3 linked regions of the Lonchura striata genome follow. The protein of the gene in region 3 interacts with the protein of the main gene of each other region in a pairwise test. Links are inferred from orthologs where the notes say so. Each region holds a gene or a part of one and is shown on either strand. Other genes may lie near its edges.

Region 1 (7,931 bases), on a different chromosome or scaffold from region 3:
TTGTTTGTCACTGCCTCCTCCTGAGCAGCAATGATTTATACTTCAAAATTTACACTTCTTGTCCCAAAAGGGTATTTTAGGATAGCTATCCTATTAACCCTGCCACCTGCTCACCACCTAACCCATCACTCAGCACGTGGGAGATGATCCCTGCCCTACCACAGGCCCCACACATGGGAGGGCGGCCACCAAAGCCCCCCCTGAAAAAGGGGTTTGTTCCCCCAAAACCAAGCACCCAGCTGGGAACCCCACACTTCCCCAGGCTCTCTTCTGGATTCCTTCCATTCCCTGTACATTCACACACAGGAAAAAGAAACACAACCACAAGACTTCTGGGGTTTGAAGTACAGGCGAGCTCTGAAGAGCTATTCTAAAATAATAATTCAAAGATCTTATGGTCTTTATGGTCTTTAGCACAGCCCTAGAGCAGGACAGCTGACCTGGGGAAATGCCTTGGGCAAGTTTATACATGTGCTGGGCTCAATGCAAAACAGGTTTTCTCTTTTATTGTAGTCATGTCCCGCACTGTCGCTGGTAGAATTAACAGTGCTCTCACTGCTTATGATAATAAAGCTGGCACTATATGAACTTTCTGCCAATGCTCAAAGCCTGAAAAATAAAGTTAGCTCTGAAGAGACAAAATAAGTTTTAAGCAAGCAGGACTCTGTCAATTCTTTTAAGCAATCCCTGCAATAAGCAAAACTACAGGCAAATACGAGCATTATAAAGTTAATTCATGTTTGAATTAACTGAATCACTTAAAAAAATGTCTTCATGCCTTTTACAGAACAGATTTATCCCAAACACAACTATCAAACACTGCAGGTGATACAGCCAGTGATTAGATCACCCTTTTAAGTTTACAATATAAAAGCATTATTTACTTTTACTTCTTTATCAACATAGTTTTTATGACTATAATAAATTTTGCTTAGCACACCTTTCACTTTAGAAAAAGAAACAAGCATGGGAAGCAGAGAAGAAGAGCATCTTTCCATCTGCAATTTTCTGCCAAAAGACTAAAAGGGAAAAAAACCCAAAAACCTCAATCCAGCATGGTTTGGCTTTTGACTGCATGTTGCATTCTGTGCATGCATGGCCTACAAAACCTGAAAGCCATTGATAGCTCTTGCTCATTAGGTAACCCAGAAGCATAGGCCAGTCTAACAGCAGGTCAGATTTCACCCTGCCCAAAACATGCAGTCACTACTCCTTACCTCCTCCATGGAACTCACAGAACACAAACACCCTCACATTCGCATTTCACTCATGATCAACTCAGTCTTCCTTCCGAGTCCATGTCAACTCTATCTCAGGAGACCACCGACAGAACAAGTCAAACTTCTCTACCACAAGTTTGGGAAAACAGCTGCCTCAGATAGCGAAAACCCCAAAGCTGCCTGAACACTGTTCTCGATGAGAACTTGTGCCTTCCAAGATGTTAGCTACTGATACCCATGGAGCAGAATTACTCAGATACCATTAAAATCTGATCCCAACCACAAGATATCCTCAGCTCAGAGAGCTTTTGTCATCTGGCATCTTAATGTGTCACTCTCTCATGTGTTCAGTCAGCCCTAGAAGCAGTAAATCGCATTTGTGTATTAAAGAAAATGTTCCCTACTCGCTCAGGAATACACCACCTCCTTTCCACAAGTGACTGCTTCCTCCCCATAGGTCTTCACAGATTGGATTCACACTCTTTGTTAAATAAAGCTTTACCGTATCTCTGAGCATTTATAGTGCCATGACTCAGTTAAATTCTAATCAGCCTGCGAGCTGTCTGACACTGCAGCAGGTCCCCTCAAAATAAAACAAGGAATAATATAGTCGCCAGATTCCAGAGAGATGAGGCAAAAGAGGACAACTTCCACTTCAGCCTTCTTAACAACAACATAATCCCAAAGCCAGAAATCCTGCTGTTTTTTCCCAACACCTCCAACATGTGTCAAGCTATTTTATCTGAATCCTTCTTTAAATTAAAAGCCCAGTAAATCCCCAGGAATACACAAGAGAGAAGAAGAAAGGTGCAGCACAAACACAAGGCTGTCTGCTCGCTACAACGCTGCCCCCGTTTTGCCTACACTACGTTTCCTTAGGTCTCACTACCTCCCAACTTAATCACCCGCTGACACTTAGAACGAAAAGCCTCAAACAACACGTTCTGCAGGGAAAAACGAAGGGTGGCAGTGGCAGGAAGAAAAAAAAATTAAAATTCACCTTTAGAGGGCTTCGGGGACACACCAAAAAAAAAAAAAAAAAAGAACCACCACGTCTGGAAAAGTAACCTTTAGTCTAGAAGGGAAACAGCGACGTCCCTAAGGAGCCCGAAGCGATGAGAAGGCATCTTTGGGGGGCGCAGGGAGCCGCGCCGCGCGGGGCCGGCCCCGGGCTGGCGGCGGGCCCGCAGGTGGCGGCGGGCGGGCAGCGCCAGCGCCGGGAGGCGGCGGGGCGGCGTGGCCTTGCCCGCAGCCCCGGAGCGAGCCCGCCCGCCCGCCGCAGCCGCGCTCCGAGCGCCCGCCCGCCCGCCGCTCGCACCGGGCGGGGCGGCGCGGGTCCCCGCCGAAGGGGCCCGGCCGTGCGCTCGGCGCGGGTCCCGGTGGGGGGGCGGAATAGTAACTTTTCCGTTCCGGCGGCTCCCCCAAACCCACCGCGGCCGGGCAAACTTTCCGCCCGCACCGCGGGCGCCGCCGCCGCGCCGGGCTCCCCCCGGCATTGTTCCCCGGTAGCGCGGCCCCGGCCCGGCCCGGCCCCGCTCGGCCATTTCCCCGGCGGAACAGCGCCGCGCTCACCCCGCGGCCGCCGCGGCTCCTCCCGGCCGGGCCGCCCGAGCCCCCCGGAGCCGCTCCGGCCGCAGCCGCCGCGCACGCCGCCCTGCTGCCGCGGCCGGTCCCGGCGCTGAGCCCCGGGGAGCGGCGGCTGCCGGAGCCGAGTGCCCAGGCGGGTCCCCGCGGCCGGAGGACAGGACGGGGCCGGGCAGGGCAGGACGCGCCGCCTCCCGCCACCCCCGGCCCCGCGCGTCCCCCCCGCCCCGCGCATCCCCGCGCACATACGGGGCGAGCCGAGCTCCGCTGCGCTGCTCTCCGCGGCTCGGGGCTCTGCTGCAATGCCTGCGAGGCTGACTTTCAAAGCCTAACCCGCAGCCGCGATCCTCCCTCTCCGCCTTCCACCTCGCCCGCCGCGGCGCAGCCCGGCCCCTCCCCGCGCCGCGCCATTCATCTCTCCAGCCAAGTTTCTTAACCCTTTGGTAACCTCCGGCAGGAGGCGGGGCGGGATGCGGGCACGCAGGGATGCGCCCCCCGCCCCGCCCGCCGCGGCGAGGGCAGGGCAGGGCGGCCGCCCGCACGTACGCGAATCCCAGCCCCTCCTGCCCCCTCTAATTAACCTGACTGAGATCGCAGAGCCTCCGGGAAACTCACGAGCGACAGCACCGGAGGACCCGTATCGGATGAAAACGGCAGTGGCTTATAAATAACACTTTATTTTTTTCCCTTTTTTTATTTTTCTTTTTCCTTTCCCCCTTCGGCTGCTTTGGAATAATAGGGGGGAGGGCGCTATTCGTGCTACTAGTACTTGTCAGTTTACAGCTTAAGTTTTCAGCCTTTCCTCCGAAAAAAAACCACGGGCTAGAAAGTTCAGTGCTATCATTATAATTATCATTATTGTTGTTGTTGTTACTACGCTATTTTGAAGGAAAAGCCGGGATGCTCCCGGCAGCGGCCCCGGCACCTGCGGCTGCTCCGGGGTGGCGCTGCCCCGCTTCCCGGCGCATCTCCTTCTCCCAGGGCACCGGGAGCGGCGAGCATCCCTGCCCGGCGCTCCCTGTGCCGCGGGGAAGGAGGACGGGGGGGCACACCAGCTCATTAAAGCCACGTGGCAAATAAATGCAGTTTAGGAGGGAAATAATAATAATAATAATAATAATAATAATAATAATAATAATAATAATAATAATAAACCAACCCGGAGCAGAGCAGTGCTTCCCAAGAAGAGTCAGCCCTATATTTTGCTAGGCGACGTCCCCCAAAGCTCTGCTGTCAGAAATTGCACGGAATGTCAAGTTGTTCTTTAGACTTTGCTGCCACCAAAGAGAGTACGCAGAGATACAGGCTGAGCTTGGCTGTACAAACGAAGCTACAAAGTGCATGCGACCTTCATCACACCTCCTGTGTGCCTGTGTTTAACAAACGTCTCGCCGTGTCGCACACTGTCTGCCAAACGCTTTACAGAATACTTCATGATACTTCACTTCTACAAGTCAAAGACTGACGAAAGAGAAACAAATTTGTTTGCAAGTCACATATAAACTGCATGGTAATTACTGCATTAACACATGCCCACCTTTTAGTTTTAAAACTCAGGTAAAATAAATGATCTATTCAAGCGTCTTTTTAGTGGGAGACTAATATTAAAGAGCACAGGAATTTCCACTTTAAAGAAAGCGAAAGGGAGTCACATTTATGAAAAGCTAAGTATTTTAACTGAGTGATAACATGAATGAAAGTAGATGTAGGAATGTTAAATAAAACCTCTCACTTTGGAATGTACAGATTGTGTACAGGCTTAGAGTGGAGCTAGTAATGTATTACTTGACCTATTTTTTTAAGCCAATGAAAGATTTAGGTTAACTTCATCATGTGTTTTTAACCACTTTCTTCCAGACATGCAGCAGCATTTTCTAAAGCCATTGCATGTCACAGTGTTTATACAAGTCCCTTTTTTTAAGAGCATAAGTCTCATAATATAGCCTACTTGTACTTCCATGAAAAGAATGGGTTTTCTCTTCCTTTCCATTATAGGCTCATGAGCAAATTTTGATCGTAAAGAAATTATCCCTAATTTTTTTATTTCACAAAGAATCTTCATCTCAAATTTTTTTCAATGCTAAGCAGCTGAGTTATCTGGGGAAAAGGAAATTTTCTCATTACTGCAGCAATTTATCTGCTATTTCAATCAAGAGTGTCTGTAGTAGAGACGTCTTTCATTCTTAACCTTAGGGAATGTATTGCGTAGATGAGAGACCTACAAAATGAGGAATCTTGGACAAGCAACATAAAAAAAAAATGTGTGTGTGGAGTATTTGTTAAAATGATTGTTGTCTGGTAACATATAGTTGCTTGAGGACACAAGTTTCAGAAGATACAATCAACGGAGACTGTATTAAATAATAAAACATAAAGATTTAGTAGGTTGTTTCCACTGCTTAATAGTTGTATCACAATGAATTGTGCCGCTAGTCCATGTTTACTTAACTATGAGAATTCAAACAATATACCGAATAAATACCCTGTACAAGTAAAGGAAAAAAATGCATCACGTAGTAAATTCCATCTCTCAAGAAGTATGAAAGTACTGATGTGAACTTGTTGGTCCTTTCTGAACGTTCTTCAACCAAACCCAAACACACTCTCACTCCCCAAACATAAAAGGTGAGCATCCATGGCTGTACCAATCCACCATCTGTGGGTGGTGTCTATACCTTCACTGTCCTACAGACATCACAAAATTTTGGACACTTTGCTCAATTTTTTTTCAAAGGGAATTCATCGCTATAAGATGATGTTAAATGGAAGGCCAGTTGTGACAAGGAAGCATAAACTACCTTTACATCAGTCTTGGAAGGGAGAAACTTATTATAGAGCTTACATTAGAACTCACTCCCAGAAAAGCAAACATTTAGTGGAGAGCTATTGGTGTCATACTTTGGTAATATCAGCAAACCATTTCTTTTATATATTTAAAAAAATATATCCTAATGCATTTTTGACCTAGGAAAACTTCTATCAAAACCAAAATATAACTATGATTCTAACATTCTTGAAGAACAAAATTAATCTGTCTGACCATTTAAAAAATGGTTAAATAAATGTTGATGTACCTACAACTTATCTTTGATAATTCTGATGATTACAATAGTACATTTAAAAAAGATAAGCAAGGATTCATCTTCAGTAGCAAACTTTGTCTTCAACTTACTGAAACAAAACACATTGGTGTGTGCCATATGGTAAAAAGATACATATTATCATCAAAAAGTAAATGCAAATGCTATTTTATTATTCCCAAATGTTTTTAAGCTAATGCTAGCTCATTTTTAAATCACATAAGGTGCTTTGAAGAGCTTGGGAGAACTACAGTTGCTTTTATTTTGATTTTTATTTAAGGTTATCTCAGCCTCTCAAAAAGCTAACCACTCTGAAACTACCTTTTTCAATCACAATAATTAAGGCCTTGCTTTATGGCATCCAATCATGATATGAGAGGCTTAGGTTGTGGTCGAGAAGCTTTACAGAAATGCATTTCCAGACTAAATCTTCCTCTAAAATAGTTTGTCAGCCTTACATAGACAAATAATGAAATTCTGTCCTTGACTCAGCCTAGTTCAATTCACGTAATATGTCAGATTAGCCACCATTCCAAAGGTGCCTTCACAGAGGATTAAATCACCTAGTTATTCCAGAATTTAGGGAGACACACACACACACACACACACCAAAAAATAGAAAATAAAAAGAAAAAAGGAATTATGATGAATCCTGTTTATTCAATAAAAGACTTCAAAGGAGGTTTGCTTAAATTAATGATCATCATATATCAGTGTTCATCCATAAATCTGAAGTAGTAAGGTGCAAAATTCTGCTGTTCTTCAGGGGTACTGTCTGGGAGTACCTGAAATCAGTGGGAGCCTTACAAGTGTTATCAGGGAAGAACTGGTCCAGGGAAGGGTTCTTGCAGGGGGGTACCACAGGACATCTCCTGTTTTCCTCCTGACAGCAGCAAGTCTGCAGCTGTTGGTGGTAGAGTTGAATGACACAATGATGTGTAAAAGGAAGAGTAAGATATTCTATGGCTGAAAGTTATAAAAACTACACACCAGTGCTTTTTCATCTACCTAGATTTAAAATTATGAAGGCATTTGCATGCATACATCTATCATTCCCTACTGGAGTTGTTTTCCACTTCCTATTTTTTTTTTTTTTTCATTTTTTTAATTACAGAGTCTACTTCCATTTTTACAAGTACTTCCAAGCAGGTCATCTGAGAGGAATGTACCCTTAGTAGCTCAAATTAACTTTTTTTTTCCTTGCATTATTTAAAAGTAGACTTCAGATCGTGACTATTTATTCTAAGAGTAATAAGCAAAGGACCAGATGCTAGAGTCTTTTCAATTACAGAAACATTTAAAGACAGCTGTACCATATAAACTCTCATGGAGGAATCATATGCTTGCAGCATCTGGTGAGTTTTGGCCATGCCTCCAGCACGCTGTATCTGTTCTGAGGCACGAGCTAGGGTGAGGCTTACTTTGCCATGTGTGTTTTTGGGGTAGAGGTCTGCAGGTTTTTGACCCTAAATGAGGAATAACACTTCAGGTCTTACATTTAGTGGCAGGAAATAAACACTACTTGACACCTTTTATAGAAGAGTCAAAGGGGCTGGCGCTAAATTGATATGACTACCTTACATTAATTATTTTACCAGAACAAAATACCAGGATTTTTTTATCCAGAAGAGAGCATCCTGTACTCCTGAATTTCCTTCCATTTCATCCCACTTGCACAAACATGAAGATTATATTTCTGAGAACATTGTTCTGATGAGTCACGTTCCTGGTAGTGTGAAAGCACATCCAGAAAATAACCATGCTGGAGTCCCTGCTCATCAACTGGCAGGAGAAAGCAGCAGCAGAGCAGGTACTGCACTGCACAAGCACTGCTCCTACTTGGGGGTATGCAAAGATAATGTCTGAGAAGGTTATAGGCATGCAGCTGGAGCTGTTCAGAACACTCATTTTCCTTTCAGAATTTTTCTCTGACAAAGCTGAATTCCCCATGTCAGCAGCAAGAGATTGAAAGAGGACTGAAGAATCATGCCCTCTCTCACCCTCTGCTTTCAGGAGTTACTCTCAGTGACAATTTTGCTTCACAGCC
Region 2 (8,635 bases), on a different chromosome or scaffold from region 3:
AATTAATAGCAGAAAATTAAATTGGAGATGATCACCCTTTTCCAACCCCATATTCCCCATGCCTATTTCCTAATGGTCTCACAGATCTGTAATCAAGCCACCCACCTTGGTAAGTCCCAGGGACTGACTGAGGGGAGCCATAGGGCATTCCAGGTGCTGTGGCAGGTTGAGGTCCTGGAAAAATGAAAATATGCTCTGAGTATGGATCATTTCCTTCTGCCCTGGGTGAAGGATCCCCAGCACTGACTCCCTTTCCAGAGTAAACATAGAAAAAAATCTAGGGAGCTGTTTCCTGTATAGCAAAAATATGCATCAAGATCATATTTATGAACAATGCATGCATCAGCAAAATTTAATGGAGTTCTGCACAGGATGTCACAGAATCACAGAATCATTGAAAGGGACCTCCTGAGATCAGCTAGTCCAAGCCCTGCCCAAGCAGGGTCAGGTCACTCTGCCTGGGGCAAAGATGCCTTTGTTCATTGATATTTAGAAAGTGGCTGGAATTCAAAGCATTGCCAGGAACTGACAGGCTGCCCTCCAATAGGATGACAGTGAGCCATTCCCCTCTGTGAAAAAACCTTTTCTCCCAGCTCCTTCAAGTTCAGACTATACTAATGCCTCACCAGCAGATGAAGAGTGTTAGGGATTTAAAAACATTTACCAGCTTTAGTTTATAACCAGAAATAACTTGAATTTCAAGATTTCTAAATTATTTATTATTTTTACTTAACTTCAGAAATCAAGATCTGAAATATAAGCTCTGCATTTTGTAAAATATTCCATTTTAAAATGTAAATAATTTCAAGTTAAAACATTCATACATATTTCATATAATTAGAAGGTAAGCTAATAGCTAAGCTAATATTGCTTGAATGTGCTGTCTTTGATGTTAGCAAAAGTTGGCATTTTGGTTATATTTTACTCACCTTGCATTGTCACAGATCTGCTTGCAGTTCTGCAAAACAAAATTTTTGTTTCATGATTTTTTAAATATATGATTTCATACAAGAGCTATTCAGAGTTCTCTATTATTGATAAAAGATATTTGCCTCTCTAAACTGTATGGGAAGGCAAAATTACAAATACTAGCAAAAGTAAACTTCAATATGTCAGCTTCCTTCTAGGCTATGTCTGAACTACTACTTAAGTCTGAGCTTTCTATGCCTACAGTCATGCCTTGAATACCCTGAAATCATCCTCAACTCAGAAAAGCATTGGGATGTGCAAGACTCCATTTTGCAGCCATTCAGAAATATCCTGTAATTCATATGAACAATTTACTGCAGTAATTTTAGGCACCTGGCTCAGTGTATTGATGTTGACAAAATCTGTTCAGGTAAGCCCTGCAGCAGCCATTCTACCACCTATTCAGCTCTTTAAGCTACTCCATTTCTCTAGTTGTACTACAAAATAACACATATCCAGTATTTGGATAACAAAGTGTAGTTGCCAAAAGGAATTAAAAAAAAAAAAAAAAAAAAAAAACCACAAAAACAACCTAACCTAAAACAAAACAAAGCAAAAGCATACAAAACCCCACTTACTGGTATGAGCTTAAACCTTGAGAGTTATCTCTTTCTCTGGGATAATGAGTGAAGCAAGACAACAGCAGCAACTATTAGAGAGAGATCCAAAACGCTCAGGAGGTCCAAACATAGAACTGCATAAAAGAATAGTACAGGCACTCATTCTTAATAGGATTGAAAGATTTAAAATTAAAAAATCAGTCTAGTTGTTCTCTAAAAATAATCCAGTTCAAGTGAAACCATGAATATAATTTGTTGGTTATGATTCTTCTGTTTCTTTCAATGAAGATGGTTGCTCAAAGCTGGGAAGCGAAACTGAAAGCAATTCCTTCTTGCTTTTCTTTCCACTTTTAATGCAGATCTCACACGGTGATGTCTAATGCAGATTCAGTTGCTCTTAAAACATTCCTTTTTAATATACTTTTTCTTCTACTTCACGAACTCTTCTTTACTAACAAAACCCCATCCTCTTACACATACTTTAATTGGGTTCTGGTCATAGGGTAGATTGGAATGTAGTCACTGTATGAATGTAGGAACATCACAAATTATAGAAGAATAAAACTAGCAAAAGATCAGTTTAAGCTGTGAGATAGTCCAGCTACATGAACATCAGTGAAATACTGAGAATTACAACTAAACCCTTTGGTAAAGGGAGAATAGAGACAGACTCACACAATTTATTTAAAAGAAGGGCTTTGTAGTCATCCAGAATCTTTCATTGTCCCTACAACTACACACACAAGCCACTGTACAATCTAGTATTTAGAAAAGGTTATTATGCTCTGTAGTAGGAAGCAATAAAAATTTTACAAAGCTCAGCCCTCATTTCATCCCTGGATCCTTTTTTATGAATGTCCATGTTTCTTTTCGGTCACTTTCTCATTTTCAGAACTACACAACACAGCTACAGGTCCCTTAGCCTGATGCATGTCACTAGATATACTGCAAGTAATTTAGACATGTCATAATTATGTTAACTATAGGGCTTCTGCTCTTCATCAGAAAAACAGAATACTAGCATGACAAGTAGTTTCATTTCTTATCCAGCTCACTAAAACAATGGAAGGAGCACGTTAATGTAATGTAAGGTCCCAGGAACAAACATGCTTAGTTATATAACAAACCAGGCCCGGCCCTTTCCAAGTTGTAATATTCAAAAGCAAGGACGCTGAATAGCCAGGAGGTATGCAATAATTCTGCTTTTGAAGTTTGTTTGTTTGTTTTGGTTTTTTTTTAATGTTGCATTATATTAGACTGTTCAGCCCCTGGATTTGAACCCTGACTGCTGAAGTATGCTTAAAAATCATCTCAGCAATCCAATTAAATTAGTTCGTTTTGTCCAATGCTAACAAAATATTATTCAGAGAAGGAATTACTCTTTTTTTTGGCTCTGATGCAGTTGGGTGCCCTCTCAAATTACAGTGACTTTTCTCCTGGGAGCGCCTGGGAGCGGCGGCCGGGTCGGGCGCGGGGCTCAGCCGGGCGCGCACCAGCGGCTGCGGGAGCGGCGGGCGCAGCCCTGCCTCGCCCCGGGGGCTCTCCGGGACACCGGAGCTGCACCGCCCCTCAACGCCGTCCTTGCCAGCCAGATCCTCCTCTAAAGCGATAAATTCCAGCTCAACCCGCACTGCCCAGCCGCACGAGCGCGGGGCTTCTCCTCGTCAAGCCCCTGCCCCAGCCCTGCGGGTCACTGAGCATCCCTGAGAGGAAAACGCCGGGATACCTGAGAGGAGCGCCTGCAAGGAACCCCGCTCGGCAAGGAGCTCCGGTGTCCCCGTGTCCCGCTGTCCCCGTGTCCCGCTGTCCCCGTGTCCGTCCTGTGCCGCTGGGGAACTCCCACCGCTGCAGGGGTGGGAGCGAGGGCAGGGCTGGGCTCGGGGCAGGAAATCGCTGCCAGCCCTGCCGAGAAACTCCGGTAATTCAACAGTTTCGCTATTCGTGGCATTTACTTTTTTTTTTTTTTTTTTTTTTTTTTTTTTTTTTTTTTTTTTCCATTTCTATCAACAGCAAAGCCGATTCAGTCCTTTTAAAATTAATTAATTAATGTACTTAATTTCTGCCCTTTAGTCAGAGGACAGCAGGTTGCATACAGGTAATAACGCCAAGTTCTATGTCCACCCTGAAAGGAGAACAAATGTTTTTGGAACAATTTTACCTTGTTTATAAGGCAGGCCCTCAGGAGGAAAAATATATTTGTGTGGACTTCATAGTTACAGGAAGAAGAATATACAATACTAAATTGTTTGGGAAACAAAGGACTTGGAGAAAGCTGGCCCTGATTACAAGCTCTGATGAACAGATCTTCTGCATCCTCTTTTGTACATTCATGTACAACAGATTGGAGCTGCTGGTGTCCACGTATGGCAAAGGAAAGTTTCTTCAAAGAAAACTGTATTTCATGTAAGGCACATAAATCTGATCACAGTAATTGGTGCATGCATAAAACCCAAGATTGGGGATTCAGTAAGTGCAGCTCACCTTCTACATCCTCAGTAGTCTTTGTATTCTACTTCCCAAAATAAGGCCTCCATTTCAATACTGAACTTTCCACTTAAAACAAACAAAGAAACAAACAAAGAAACAAACAAAGAAACAACCCAAACCTAAACCCCAAGCTATTGTTCTAGCCCCTGCACTGGATTTCACCTAAGCACCAGATTTGACAGGGATTTGGGGATTTTATTTTGCTTTTTTCCTCAGGTACATAAGAATCTAATCTAAAGCTGACTAGCATTTTCCCACACATCTACACTGAGTCCACTAAGAGGATTAATAGCAGACACCAAGAAATAGGTTTTAAACATCTCTTAAGAAATAGGTATAGAATTATTTTGACATGGTTGGGAAATTAGAAATACATGGTAGCTTTTGATACTACCCTTCTTTTTTACAGGAATATAGCATAGTTATATTTAGCTTGGTTCAGACTTATACACTGAAATTCAAATTGTATTGCTGAGCAAACATGACTTTTTGACCTAGAGATGAACACTGTTTCTTAGATGAGACTATCATTGTCCTATCAGAAAGAACAAAGACAGCAGCATGTCTCTTCATTTCACACATCTATAAGTATGGAAGAAACCTGTTCACCTGCAGTGGCCGAAAAAAAGATGCCATGATTCACAAAATACAGAGTAATTTATCAGTCTTTCCCATATCAAATAATGTCTTTTCTTATCTCGCTAGGATCATTGATATAACTGACAGTCAGTACTTTTTTGTTAGATCAGGGGGTTGAAATGGTCAGTACCTTTTTATTTTGTCCAGTGAGCAGATTTAATCATCAGGTGAATGCCTAAAACAGTAAGAAAGGAATTGTTTCAAGAGAATAAGAAAATGACCATGCTCCTAGTAATTTAGTCTTTTAGGTTTAAGCATGTTTACCTAATAATAAACATTCTTTGTAGATTCTTGATCCCGATTTCTAGGATTTCTATGTTGTTTATGGTCTGGATATTCAGAATATTACTTTCTACTGCTTTAAGTTCTGATGCTCCTGATGTTGGCTCCTCATCTGATCCTGTGGTGCCCAGCACCAGAAGTGGGACCAATTCCTCCACCCGTTTCTCATGCAGAGGTCTCCAGTAACCTGGAGCTGGGTTGATGAAAGCAGCTCTCATCTTTCTTGCTAACATCCCCTAAACAGCTTCTTTTCTCTCTTCTCTCTTCTTTCTACCTGTGTGGGGGGACACAGGAGGAAGTTCACTCAGGGCTGAACACGAGAGCAAACAGCCTTTGTACAGCTCAAACTCAGGCATTTAACCTCATTTAACCTCAGGCATGGCATTGTTTGCACTGCTAAAGGAAACAAAAGTGGTTACCAGGGGGTTTGCCTTCTGTGCCTGTGGACACAATCCCACAGAAAATTCACTTCTCCAGGAAAGCAAACCTAGAACAGCAACAGACGTGGGAGATGAAGAGAATGATAAGTGGAGAGTAGTTGTTGTCTTTATAGAAAGGACATAGGATGTGAAGTTTGAGGCACAAACTTGAGGGGGCTACCAGGAAATAAAAGAAAGAACAAAAGAAAAAGAAGTAATAGAGGCGAAAGAAAGAGGGAACAAAGAAAAAGATTCCTCCCAGTGGCAGGGGAGCTGCACTGGTTGGAGCACCAGCCATGGGGTACTGCTGTTTTTCTGCTGTTTGCCATCCCTCACATATGCACATTTTGGGAAAACCTTTAATTTTATCGAACAGTGATAATTCCTTTAGCTTACAGTGCTTAGGCCTCTATTCATGTGTGCAAATGGTTATCTTAGCCTTAGAAACTGTGGGCCTCAGCAATTCTTCTGGAAGGTGATTTAAATATGCAGAAGAATTGGCAGGAACATTTAGCACGTCTGTATGAGTTTTGGGGAGATGTCGTAAGTCTGAATCAGTTACACAGATTTAAACTCATCTGTTCTCCCCTGCTACAGTGCAGGGGTCAGAAAAAGACATCCCCCTCATGCCCTGTGCTGAAAATAAAAATTATTCCACTTTCTCATACTGAAATTACAGTGTTAGTTTTATTCCCGACTTTTGATGACAAAATGATAATGACCTGATACAATTCGCACAATATTTAGAACTTGCTTGGAAAGTTTAGATTTAAAAGATTGCCTCCAACCTAACTATTCACATTTAAGTAATCTTCTCCAGAATAAGTTATTTACCTTTTTTCCATTTATAGTACAGGTTACATCCAAACTAGTAGTGGTTTTGAAAGCAGGTAGGCAAATAATTCCAATAGGTGAAATCTACATTTTTATACAGCGTGATGAGTCTAGCATGAGCACACCACCAATGTGACAGACATGATGTATACACAGTAAAAAGCAGTTTAAATCCAAGCATTTAAAAAACACATAAATTTCTATTCTTGGTATTAATATTACTATTTCTTTGATGTGGAACTGGAGAAATTGAGTCCATCCTGCTAACATTTGATAGACATCTGACATCCCCTGAATCTCAGTGTAGCTCTCCTTTTGTCTTGGTAGTTGGGCCTTTGATAAAATATGTATTCATGAAGCCAGAAGAAGCAGCTAACACATCATCTCACTATTAAAGATTTGTAAATATGTGAAATTGTAAACAGGCCTGTTTGCTTATTTGATTTCATTTAACAATGTCAAGTCAGTCATCAAGCCTGCAGTCTAACAAATGAGGGTTAGGTTTTCCTTCAAGAGGGAAACTGGGTGAAAATGGGTTTAGTTGTTGTAATGTCTTAGTTAATTCAACATCCAGAAAACATCAGTGGACAGTTATGAGTTCCAAACCACATAAAGTAACATCCCTTATATTTTTATGTATCCTGAGGAGCAGCATGTCCCCCTGTGCTGTCACTAACAATCGTAATAATCACTCACAGGGGAAAAGCAATTCCTGCAGAGAGCTGTCAGCCATCACCATCAGTCCTTCCTCGAGATACTCAAACACAAGGAGAAAACAACAACTGAACAACAATGGAAGCAATACCACACATTTGGTTTTGCTACTAAATGTTTTTGTGCCACAGCAATTTCTTTCTCAGACTGAAAAGGGAGCCAAATAAAGTTTTACTGCTGCCAATCATGCAAGGTTTTGAATGTCAGCACTGTAGCTGAAGCAGCATAAGCTGCTTTGCAGACAGAAAATGGGATATTGGGAGGAAAAGAGCAACTCGACATAAAGAAATAGGCCATTACAGTTTACAGCATTTAGGATTAACTGTGGTACCAACAGTTTAAAATGCAGCTTGTGCAAATCCTGTTTTCTGCTAAAGGGATATTGCTACTGCAAATAGGTACTTACAGGGAACACTTTCCTAGGCATGGCTTTGTTCCTAAAAAGTAAAAATAATACCAGCCTAATTAATGAAATACACCAAAAAATCAAGTCAGGACAATCCCATCCTGGGCAGACATCCAGCTCTGTATGTCAAAGCTGGCACTCTGAGCTCCCAGGATGCTCAGTTACCTTTGTAGTTTTTGGGGAGAATGGAATCCAAGTTCTTTTGTTTAAGCAGGTTGAATCATACAGTAGCAGTGACGTGTTAGTGATCCTTGAACTCTCCCTCCCTGCCTCCCTCCAATGCCTTTTCTCACAAGCACACACCACGTGTGGGTGGGATTCATTGGCCAAACTACTCTAGACCCAGACTGCTGCCCCACTGTGGAGCTGGAATCATATAAAGCAGTTATGTCAGGAGACTCCCCTTGGAAAATGAACATAAAACAAGGAAGCCTGTAAGGAGCAGCCCTTTGCCATGGTGCACAGGGTACCTCTGGCCTGAGGCCAGGAGTCCCTCTGCTCCCCTTGCCCATCCTCTGGAGCCCCTGCTCACCAGTCACACCTCTCTGCAAAGAATGTAATGCAGCACCCAGGCCCATGTTTGTTTTCATTTATAGTATCTTTTGAACACTAGCACTGCATTTGAATTCAGCGTTATGAAAAAAAATAACACCTTTTAACCTTATGCTCTTGATTAGGCACCCCTGGCTTGTTCAGGAGCTGCTGATAAAGGAGAATCTGGGTTTGTTGTGCTGTGATATACACTGGCACTTTCATCAACATGAAGAGAAATAGAGCAATGCTGATGCACAGAACCAGGCTGAGGGGAGGATGTTATTAAAACCAGTGAAATCCAAGTTAATGTGTTTCATAACAGACTCATCTGACAAAAATGTACTGGGACCTTGAGGCTTCTGTTAATTAAGAAGATAATTAAAAAGTTGTAAATGTAGGACCACTAGATCTGCAAGAGTTTATGAGGTGAATTTACAGCTCAATTAAGAATGAAAATTGAGGAAGCCCAACACCAGGCACTGCTTCTTACACAGAGAGCTGGGAGATTTCGGGAGGTTTGGAAACTGGAGAGGGGAAAACATAGGAAAAGGAAAATGGAAAATATTTACATCAGATATAAATCCTGTTCACTATTAAGACTTAGTCACCCATGTCAGGTACTATAAACTCTTTCCTCACACTGATTACCTGGTATGTGGAATAATCACACATGAAGAAATTGCTCATCAAAGCAGTGGGCCCCATGCTCAGGCCAGAGCCATTTCCCAGAAATTCTGAGCAGAGCTTTCAGGAGGTTCACATTTAGTCCTATTATTTCCCAAATCAAGTTT
Region 3 (7,625 bases):
CAATTCAAACCATTCTGTGAAAAAGAGATTATACTCCAGAATTTCTTTATTCTCTTTAAGTTAGGTCATCATCAGCTGCATGAGAAATAGTCCTTATATATCCATACAAATAGCTGATGATTATTTATTTAAACTCCAGTGGGACAGGTTTGGCTTCCCTTCTGTCTGTTGTAGAGTGGGCACTGCAGAGCATCAGACAGGGTGCTCTTGCTCCTGGGTTATTCCAGCTGCTATTCCAACATCTGGACAGCTTCAAACCCTAACCTTCCCAGGGCTGTCTAAGTTTTGGAACCTTAACCAAAGTGAAAAGAGTTTGGATTACCCCTGTTCACATCAAAGCTGCTCGGGGAATTCTTCTGTATGTAAGTGCTACCCAAAGAGTCTTTCCCAATCCACACACCTACACTGAAAGCACATTTGCACTCCATAAAGCCCACCCATTGCAGAAGGAGTGTGGGTAGTCTCAAAAATAGCACAAATCCTTTATTAACTATTGAACTTAAACTGTTACAGGACACACTATTTTTCATACTCCAAATGACTGCTGAAGTTAAATAAGGAGGCCTATGAATAAACATACAGCTGCTGAAGCAGGAACAGCACCTGCAGACTCCGAGCTTTTATCCACCCAGCTAGTGTTGTGCCCAAGAATGGAGCAATTTCATCAGCTGATGATCCAGATGCTGATTTGGGTTTGCAATATGAGTAAACGTGCAGAACAAGAATGTGCTTTTGCAAACAGACTTTCTTGTCAGCTGCAAATTTAGCCTGTGACTCTGCTCTTCACAATAATTTTATGGAGTTAGTTGGGAGCAGCAGCAAGAAACAAAGTCAGGCTTTTTCAGCAGCAGCCCCCTTTTAATGTCCTGCATGCTGCTGTGTGACTGCTTATACTAAAGCCAAAAATCAAAGAAAACATTTCCCTTGGATTTCAAGTTAACAAAAAGCCTTCACATCTCTTAGAAGCAGTAAAAAAAAAAAAAAAATCTGGGTAAAAATTAACTCAATATTATATGAAAAGGCAAAAAGAATTAGTATTTCCCTCTTTCACTCAAATGACTTAATCTGACAGAGCAGAATTAATTTTGTTACACAAAATAGTACTTAGCTGTCTTGGACTTTTATTTGCACAATGTAAACTGCTCCCACACTGAAGATATTTGTAATGCTCTGTGTTGGTGTATAGTACTCTAAGGAGGTATTGGAAAAAAACCCCTAATTTTAGAAGTTACATTAAAAACAAACACACACACTCCCTGAGTGATTTAGTGTCTAGCGGAGTTACTTTTTGCGTCGTTTTGTTTTTCAGAGGGACCAACACTTTAATTTGAATGCAAAAAGAAAAGAGTTGAGCTAAGGAAGCTGTAAATAATACCCGGGCAAGTCTGAAAGCAAGAAGCAGCACTGACCTGCTCCCGGGCAGCACTGGCTCCATGGGGCGAGCCTCGCACCAGAGGCTCTTGGGCTGCTCTGGGTACAGCAGGGAGGACTGGCAGTGCAGGCTCAGGGGGGACAGGTGGCCAGGAGCAGCCCACAGGGCGCTGGGGCTGGAGGTTTGCCTCGCCGTCACGCCCTCCGCGTCCCCAAAATTGCTGCCAATGTTGTAATTGACCATAGCGGGGCTGCAGAACGCCACGGTGGAATATTCGTGCCTGTTTTCCATGAAGGATGAGGGAATGTAGAGTGGGCTGTGCTCTGCTGTCAGCGTGGACTGGTTGCAGTTGTAAGGGACTGGAGAGATGACACCAGCAGGTGAGTTTTTAATTTCTGTCTTATTGCATCCAATATCCTGAAGTGGAAGCAACTGAGAAAAGTCCTTGTGAGAAGATGTGCACAGGGACATTTTGAAGCAAGATTGAAGAACGCTGTTTAAATATTCATCCTAAGACAATAAAGAATAAAAAAAAATAATTAAAAAATAAAAAAGCTCTGCATTAAGTCTTTTCTATAAAAGAAAAAAGGAACCAGTAAACCAGATAACATCTTGTGAAAACAGATTACATATAAAATGCACTTAAATAGTCAATGCACAAATTTACAACCTTTAAGAAAAAGAAAGCTTTCTAGAATATCCTTAAAAATAAAAGCTAAAACACACGCTGAGTTCAGACTCCCTTAAAAAATAATAATTTTAAGAACAAAACTATTTGAGGTCTGCTTGAAACAAAGATGAAGGTGACAACTTGGATCTTACCAGGAGTTACAACCGGGGTAAATCTGCACTCTATCGGAGATAAAATTACCCCAAGGTCCACAGCTATAGAGGAGAAATCAATTCTCTTTACAACAACTCACCATCTCCTGTTGTTAACTGCACTACAGTTTTCAGCCTTGTACTTCAGGGTGCTTCCCTTTTCCATCACAAACACGCAGCAGCAGATATTTTGAAAATAGACACACACACATGCATATCCCCCCCCTACACATTCCAATTCCAGAACTCCACTGCACATCCCTCTATGCAGTGGATGTCAGCAAGGTGCAGATTCATCTCTGAGAGGTTCCTGGGCATGGCAGCTCTGAACAGAGCCATTATAAAAGTAGAAGTCATAAAACGCAGGTATTTCCAAAGCTGACAACAAAACTCGAGTGATTTCATAAGGTCCAGAAGTTTCATAAGTCCTAGCAACTCTTCATCCTCATCCCAACTACCCCTGCCCTTTCTCAATTGCCCACAGTAATTACTCTTTGCCAGATTTAGGCATATACAAATTATTTAAGAGAGAAAAAAAACCAAAAAACCTTCCAATATTATCCTCCTGAGACAGACCCCTGTCCTAGAAGCATTATTGTACTGTAGCATTAAAAACATTTTTTCTTTATTCTTCACTAGGAGTTTCATCTGCAGTTCATTCCAGCTCTGAAGACAGACCTAGTTTGCAATTCAGAACAATTCTGTATCCAAAACAGCAGCTTTCAGCCCCCTGAACTGATATTACAATGTACTTTTGCATGTGCTAATAAGATCCTAACATGAGAAACCACAGGATAACTAAACATTCACCCACTGCTTTGCTATTACACAACTGGTAAAGGTATAGATGCTAAATGTTCTTACCTTTTTTTGCCTCATATGACCATAAAGCAAGATGAGGAAGAGTCAAGCATGGGTTTGTTGAAGTACCAGCAACCTCCCTGTCCCCAAAGCTCTCAGCCCCATGGCATTTCTATTGTGCCACCTTAGAGTATTGATACATTTTTCTCCTTTAGGGTGAGGACAGAGTAGAAGCATTAACAGAAATGTAAGAAATAGTCTTTTTGACTAAAATGGACAGTTGGGAGTCCTTCCTCCCTCCTCACTCTGCACTCTGGTGATGAAACTGAAGATATGTGTAGAAATAACCAGAAACTCATTTAAATCAGCTCAGGCATTTTAAACCCAGCTGCTGTTTTTTCCTTTGTGGGAAACAGGAAAATGAGACATCTCAGCAGCTGTTTGTGTCCAGCAGTTCTTGGACTGGAACTCCAGAGCAGTCAAAGCAGGGGATTCTGACCTCGCCCCACACACTTCATCTGCCCCCACCAGATGCTTCACAGCCTCCTCCAGGAAAAACCAGGCATCGTACAAACTTCACTGCAAAAAAACCACTGATAAACTCAAAAGGTGCTTTCACTCCCAGATTAGGGGGTGGGTCATTTCTTAGAAGGAAATGATGGAACAAAAAAAAAAAAATATAGGAGTATTTTCAGGAGTTACTATGAGTGAGCCCAATGAGCTCACTGGATTCAGCACACATTTAAAGAGTCACTATAAGCAAAGCTGTATTCCCCTTGCAGTCTCAGAGGCTGCAGGTATCCAGGATGAGCATGGGCAATTCCAAATTCTGCCAGAGAATCTGGAATGCCCAACAAAAGCTGTCTGTGCTTACTTTGTCCCTCTGCCTCCTTTGGAAGGGCACACAGCACAGGGGAACCCCAAATCCTTTGGAGGGAAGGACCTGAGCAGCATCACAGCAACATCTGTGTTACAGTCAGCTAGAGACATTCTGCTGTGCCAAAACTGAAAAATTGATTTAGCAAATAAACGCCTGCATGCTGTAGAAGCAGGGAGAACACAGAGCTGCTACTATGGAATTTTATGAACAGGAATCAGCTGAGATTTGAGTCATGTTTTTCTACAAAGAAAATCCACTAATGTGCGTGTGCTTAGCAGAGGAGATATTGTCTCCACAGCATTTAGAAACGTTCACAGAAGTTACCAGCAGCAAGAGTGAAGCTTGTTTTAGGGGAAGAGTTCACACAAGCATAAGAAGTAAGTACAGCCTTCCTGAAAAACTGCTTATAAATTATTTACAAAAAAAGGAGACTCTGGGGTCCAGCAGGTTAAAGAAAACTGCACTCATGGTCTTCAGCAGGCTGTAATGTAGTGAAAAAATAACAGTATTGATTTGAGATTATTAGCTTGGGTAACAGAAATAGTCCAGGCACAGTAGACTATGGATCTGCATGAGATCTCATTGATCACATTTCTTCACACCCACACAATTTAAAATGAAACTGCTCAGAAAGTCCTCAAGATTGGCTGCTGGTCTGTGAAGTTGTGTCTCTTAAAGAACTGAAGACTGAGGGAAACAGATCTCAAGGTCTGAGACTTGAGGAAAACTCCACAAACACCTCAGAAGGAAGCACAACCACATTTAATACAAGGATTACAATAAGTAGTGAAATAGGCTAGTAAATTTGTTCCATCCTGGTATAATGTCCTCATATCTTAAACACTACTCACTAAACAGAAATTAACTACTTCCTAAAGTGAACTTCTGTCCCAACACTCCCTCTTCCTCTGAAAAAAGATTTTAAAAGCAAGATTCAATGATAAAATACATTATTTAGATGCAGTCTGTCAGCTCTTCACTAGATCTGTACCAAACACAGAAACAAAACAGGTGTCTATTATTTTTATATTCCAGTCTCCTTGGAGCCTGCAAATATTTTAATCCACTGAAGTCAGTTTAGCTTAGTGAGATATTCAACAACTGAAATGCCATTATTAAGTAAACAACAGCCATTCTGGCCAGTTCCTCGAGTAACACTTACCATTCACAAATCTAAGACACTACAGGCAGGATTCACTTCTGACACAAAGCAGCTTCATCAGCTCCAGTACCCTGAGGATGGCACCACTATCCATGAGGAGGTCAGGAAAAAACAAATGTTATTAATGTTCTCCACCAAAAAAACAAAAACAAAAAACAAAAACCAAACAAAAACAAACAAACAGAAAAAACCAACACAACCAAAAAAAACCCAAAATCAACAACAACAAAAAAAAAGGACCAAAACAAAAAAAAATAGGTTTTTTGTCTTTGAATAACTCTACAACTGAATGTATCTCAAGTCACCATGCAAGGCATGCCAGGTGAGGCACAAGGACTGGTTTAGATGTCACAGTCAGACACATGGGTAAATAATTAAGCCATCTGACGTATTTCAACAAACTTGAAAGCCTCTTATTGCACATTACCTATACCAAATACCTCTTTAAAAGCCTTGTGGGGAAAAAGAAAACTAATTAGGTTTTTTTTTTCTTAGTTTTATGTTTGTTTGATTGTTTGGTGGTTTTTTTGTTAGTTTTGGAAAGGGGAAAAATAGGTAGAGAGGGTAGGGTGGCTGCTTGGGAACACAATACAATAGCTTTTCCTAGAAAAGTACAACACTTCAAAAAGCAAGGAGTGATGCATGTTCTCAGGCACTCTTCCATCAACATACACTACAACGTGCTTAGCATTTTATATATATTTAGAGTAAACATTTTTTGCAGTAGAGAATCAAGATGACCTTTTTCTCTGCTAAGCTTAGACTAAAGTGCAATCATTGAGCCTTTGGGTTTAATGGAGGTGATTCAGCAAGTGTTGCATTCCACCACCCCACAGCCAAAGATCCTCAGTTATCTCACAGAGCATTCTATTAATATTCTGTTAAGTTACATTTTACACAACTCCCTGCAACAATAAACTGAATCATCTCCTGGAAAAGTGATTATTAAAAGAAAGTCATTCCTGATGCGTATGATACTTGTGCTTCAGGTTTTGTGACAAACTTATTACTCATTAAACACAGCAGGGCCAGATATTGCCAACAGAAGGCAGGCAAGTAAACAAGTTTATTATTACCTGAGAAGCACTGGATGCAACAAGTAGGGGACAGATAGGGAAGCAAAATGCAAACACAGCTATCTGTCCAAACTTCAGATATTGTACTCATTCCTCCAAAATTAATAACCTGCCCCCAATGACATCAAGAATTACTCTAAATAAAATCGTGCAGCTCAAAATCACACAGGAAAAAGTACTTTGAAACAAGCAAAATGAGCACTCTTTAGTCTATGCTAGCCTTTAAGTTACTCAGAATACTGGCAACTTGTAGATTATTCTAAACATTCATAAATACATTTCAGAGCTCAATGGATCTGACATGGGGGCACCAAAGGAACTGGATTTGTTCCACTAGAGGAGTAAACAACTTTGGTCTTCTACCCTTTAAAGTGGAGTTACAAACACAAGGAATCCAGACTCTTTTTACGGAAAGTGCGCAAGTCAGGAGATCACAGCCACATGCCAGAGCAAGGGAAATCCCAGTAGAACATGGGAAAAATTCTCCACAGTGAGAATTCAGTCCAGGAACAGGATACCCAGAAAGGCTGTGAAATCCCTATCTTTGAAAGATTTTTAAAAATACTCACTTTGAGCAGGATGCTTGATTAGTTGCTCTCTAGATCTCCCTTCCCATTACTAAAAAATATTTTCAGATCTCAGTTCAAACTAAATTTAAGTTTGACTTTACTAGTTTTTAGCCTTTAAATTTGTGGACCATTAAAATGTTACCAGATCTGAGAGTGGATTTAAGCTTTCTATTATTTGCATCTCTTAGGTATGTTTCATAGACTTTAGGGTTTCAGACACCAGAAATGAAAAGCCACTGTCCTGCTCCAGAATACAAATGCAAAACGAGACACTTCAGCTCCTTTACTCTCCATGTAACTATTTCAAAGTACTGTGTGGAGTTTTTGGTCCAAAAGAATATTTGTATTTCATGATGAAAATTTTAGTGTGTTCCATTAGAAAAGAGACATCTGTTTAAACTATTACACAAGTTATAAATACAAGGATCTGAGTATTTTGTGATCATGCTTCAATCTGCAACAGTATCATGGCAGAAGCCAGTACAAAGGATAGCACCCTTTTCCAGCAAGAATTTAATTATTAAAAAAGAAAAAAGTATCTCCTCTGATGCAAGAAATGGCAGGAAAGAGCAGCATGGGGATTTAGATTTTCACAGATATGGGATGACCATCTGCATCCAGCATCTCTGAAGCACACTTGGATCTCTCAGCACATACCAATTAGGGAAGCTAATTCTAAAAAAATTATTCTTGTTTTGATTTCCACACCACAGCTCTGTCCCAACAGCATGGAATACACCTGCTCCTTGGATCCAGGAGGAATTAATTTTTTAAATTAATTAATTCAAGCCTTCCTTCAAGATTTCTCTCTTAATGACAGTGTCCTAGAACAAATGTACATGTTACTTCCTCCACTCCATTTCCTTCTGGTCATTTGCAAAAAGTGTATTCACAGAAATGTAATTGAGTCTGTGAATGGTTTGGGTTGGAAGGGACCTTGAAG

What was found.
Region 1: the proteins of ESR2 (region 3) and NRIP1 interact in a two-hybrid assay, tested with the Homo sapiens proteins (2 studies listed by BioGRID, with this or other methods). The link is inferred for Lonchura striata from reciprocal best matches to the Homo sapiens genes ESR2 and NRIP1.
Region 2: the proteins of ESR2 (region 3) and PLSCR1 interact in binary tests that used the Homo sapiens proteins (3 or more experiments, as listed by UniProt). The link is inferred for Lonchura striata from reciprocal best matches to the Homo sapiens genes ESR2 and PLSCR1.

What each region holds. Positions count from the first base shown.
Region 1 is NC_134604.1:8,744,303-8,752,233, reverse strand, and holds the start of NRIP1 (nuclear receptor-interacting protein 1), read right to left. Parts: upstream 3,335-7,931; 5' UTR 3,054-3,334; intron 2,855-3,053; exon of another isoform or gene 2,793-2,854; intron 2,248-2,792; exon of another isoform or gene 2,221-2,247; intron 1-2,220. UniProt on the Homo sapiens protein: Modulates transcriptional activation by steroid receptors such as NR3C1, NR3C2 and ESR1. Also modulates transcriptional repression by nuclear hormone receptors.
Region 2 is NC_134612.1:13,964,883-13,973,517, forward strand, and holds the start of PLSCR1 (phospholipid scramblase 1), read right to left. Parts: upstream 3,335-8,635; 5' UTR 3,256-3,334; intron 1,628-3,255; exon of another isoform or gene 1,548-1,627; intron 959-1,547; 5' UTR 937-958; coding exon 930-936; intron 175-929; coding exon 106-174; intron 1-105. UniProt on the Homo sapiens protein: Catalyzes calcium-induced ATP-independent rapid bidirectional and non-specific movement of phospholipids (lipid scrambling or lipid flip-flop) between the inner and outer leaflet of the plasma membrane resulting in collapse of the phospholipid asymmetry which leads to phosphatidylserine externalization on the cell surface.
Region 3 is NC_134608.1:7,192,495-7,200,119, forward strand, and holds the start of ESR2 (estrogen receptor beta), read right to left. Parts: upstream 3,413-7,625; 5' UTR 3,074-3,412; coding exon 3,059-3,073; intron 1,883-3,058; coding exon 1,410-1,882; intron 1-1,409.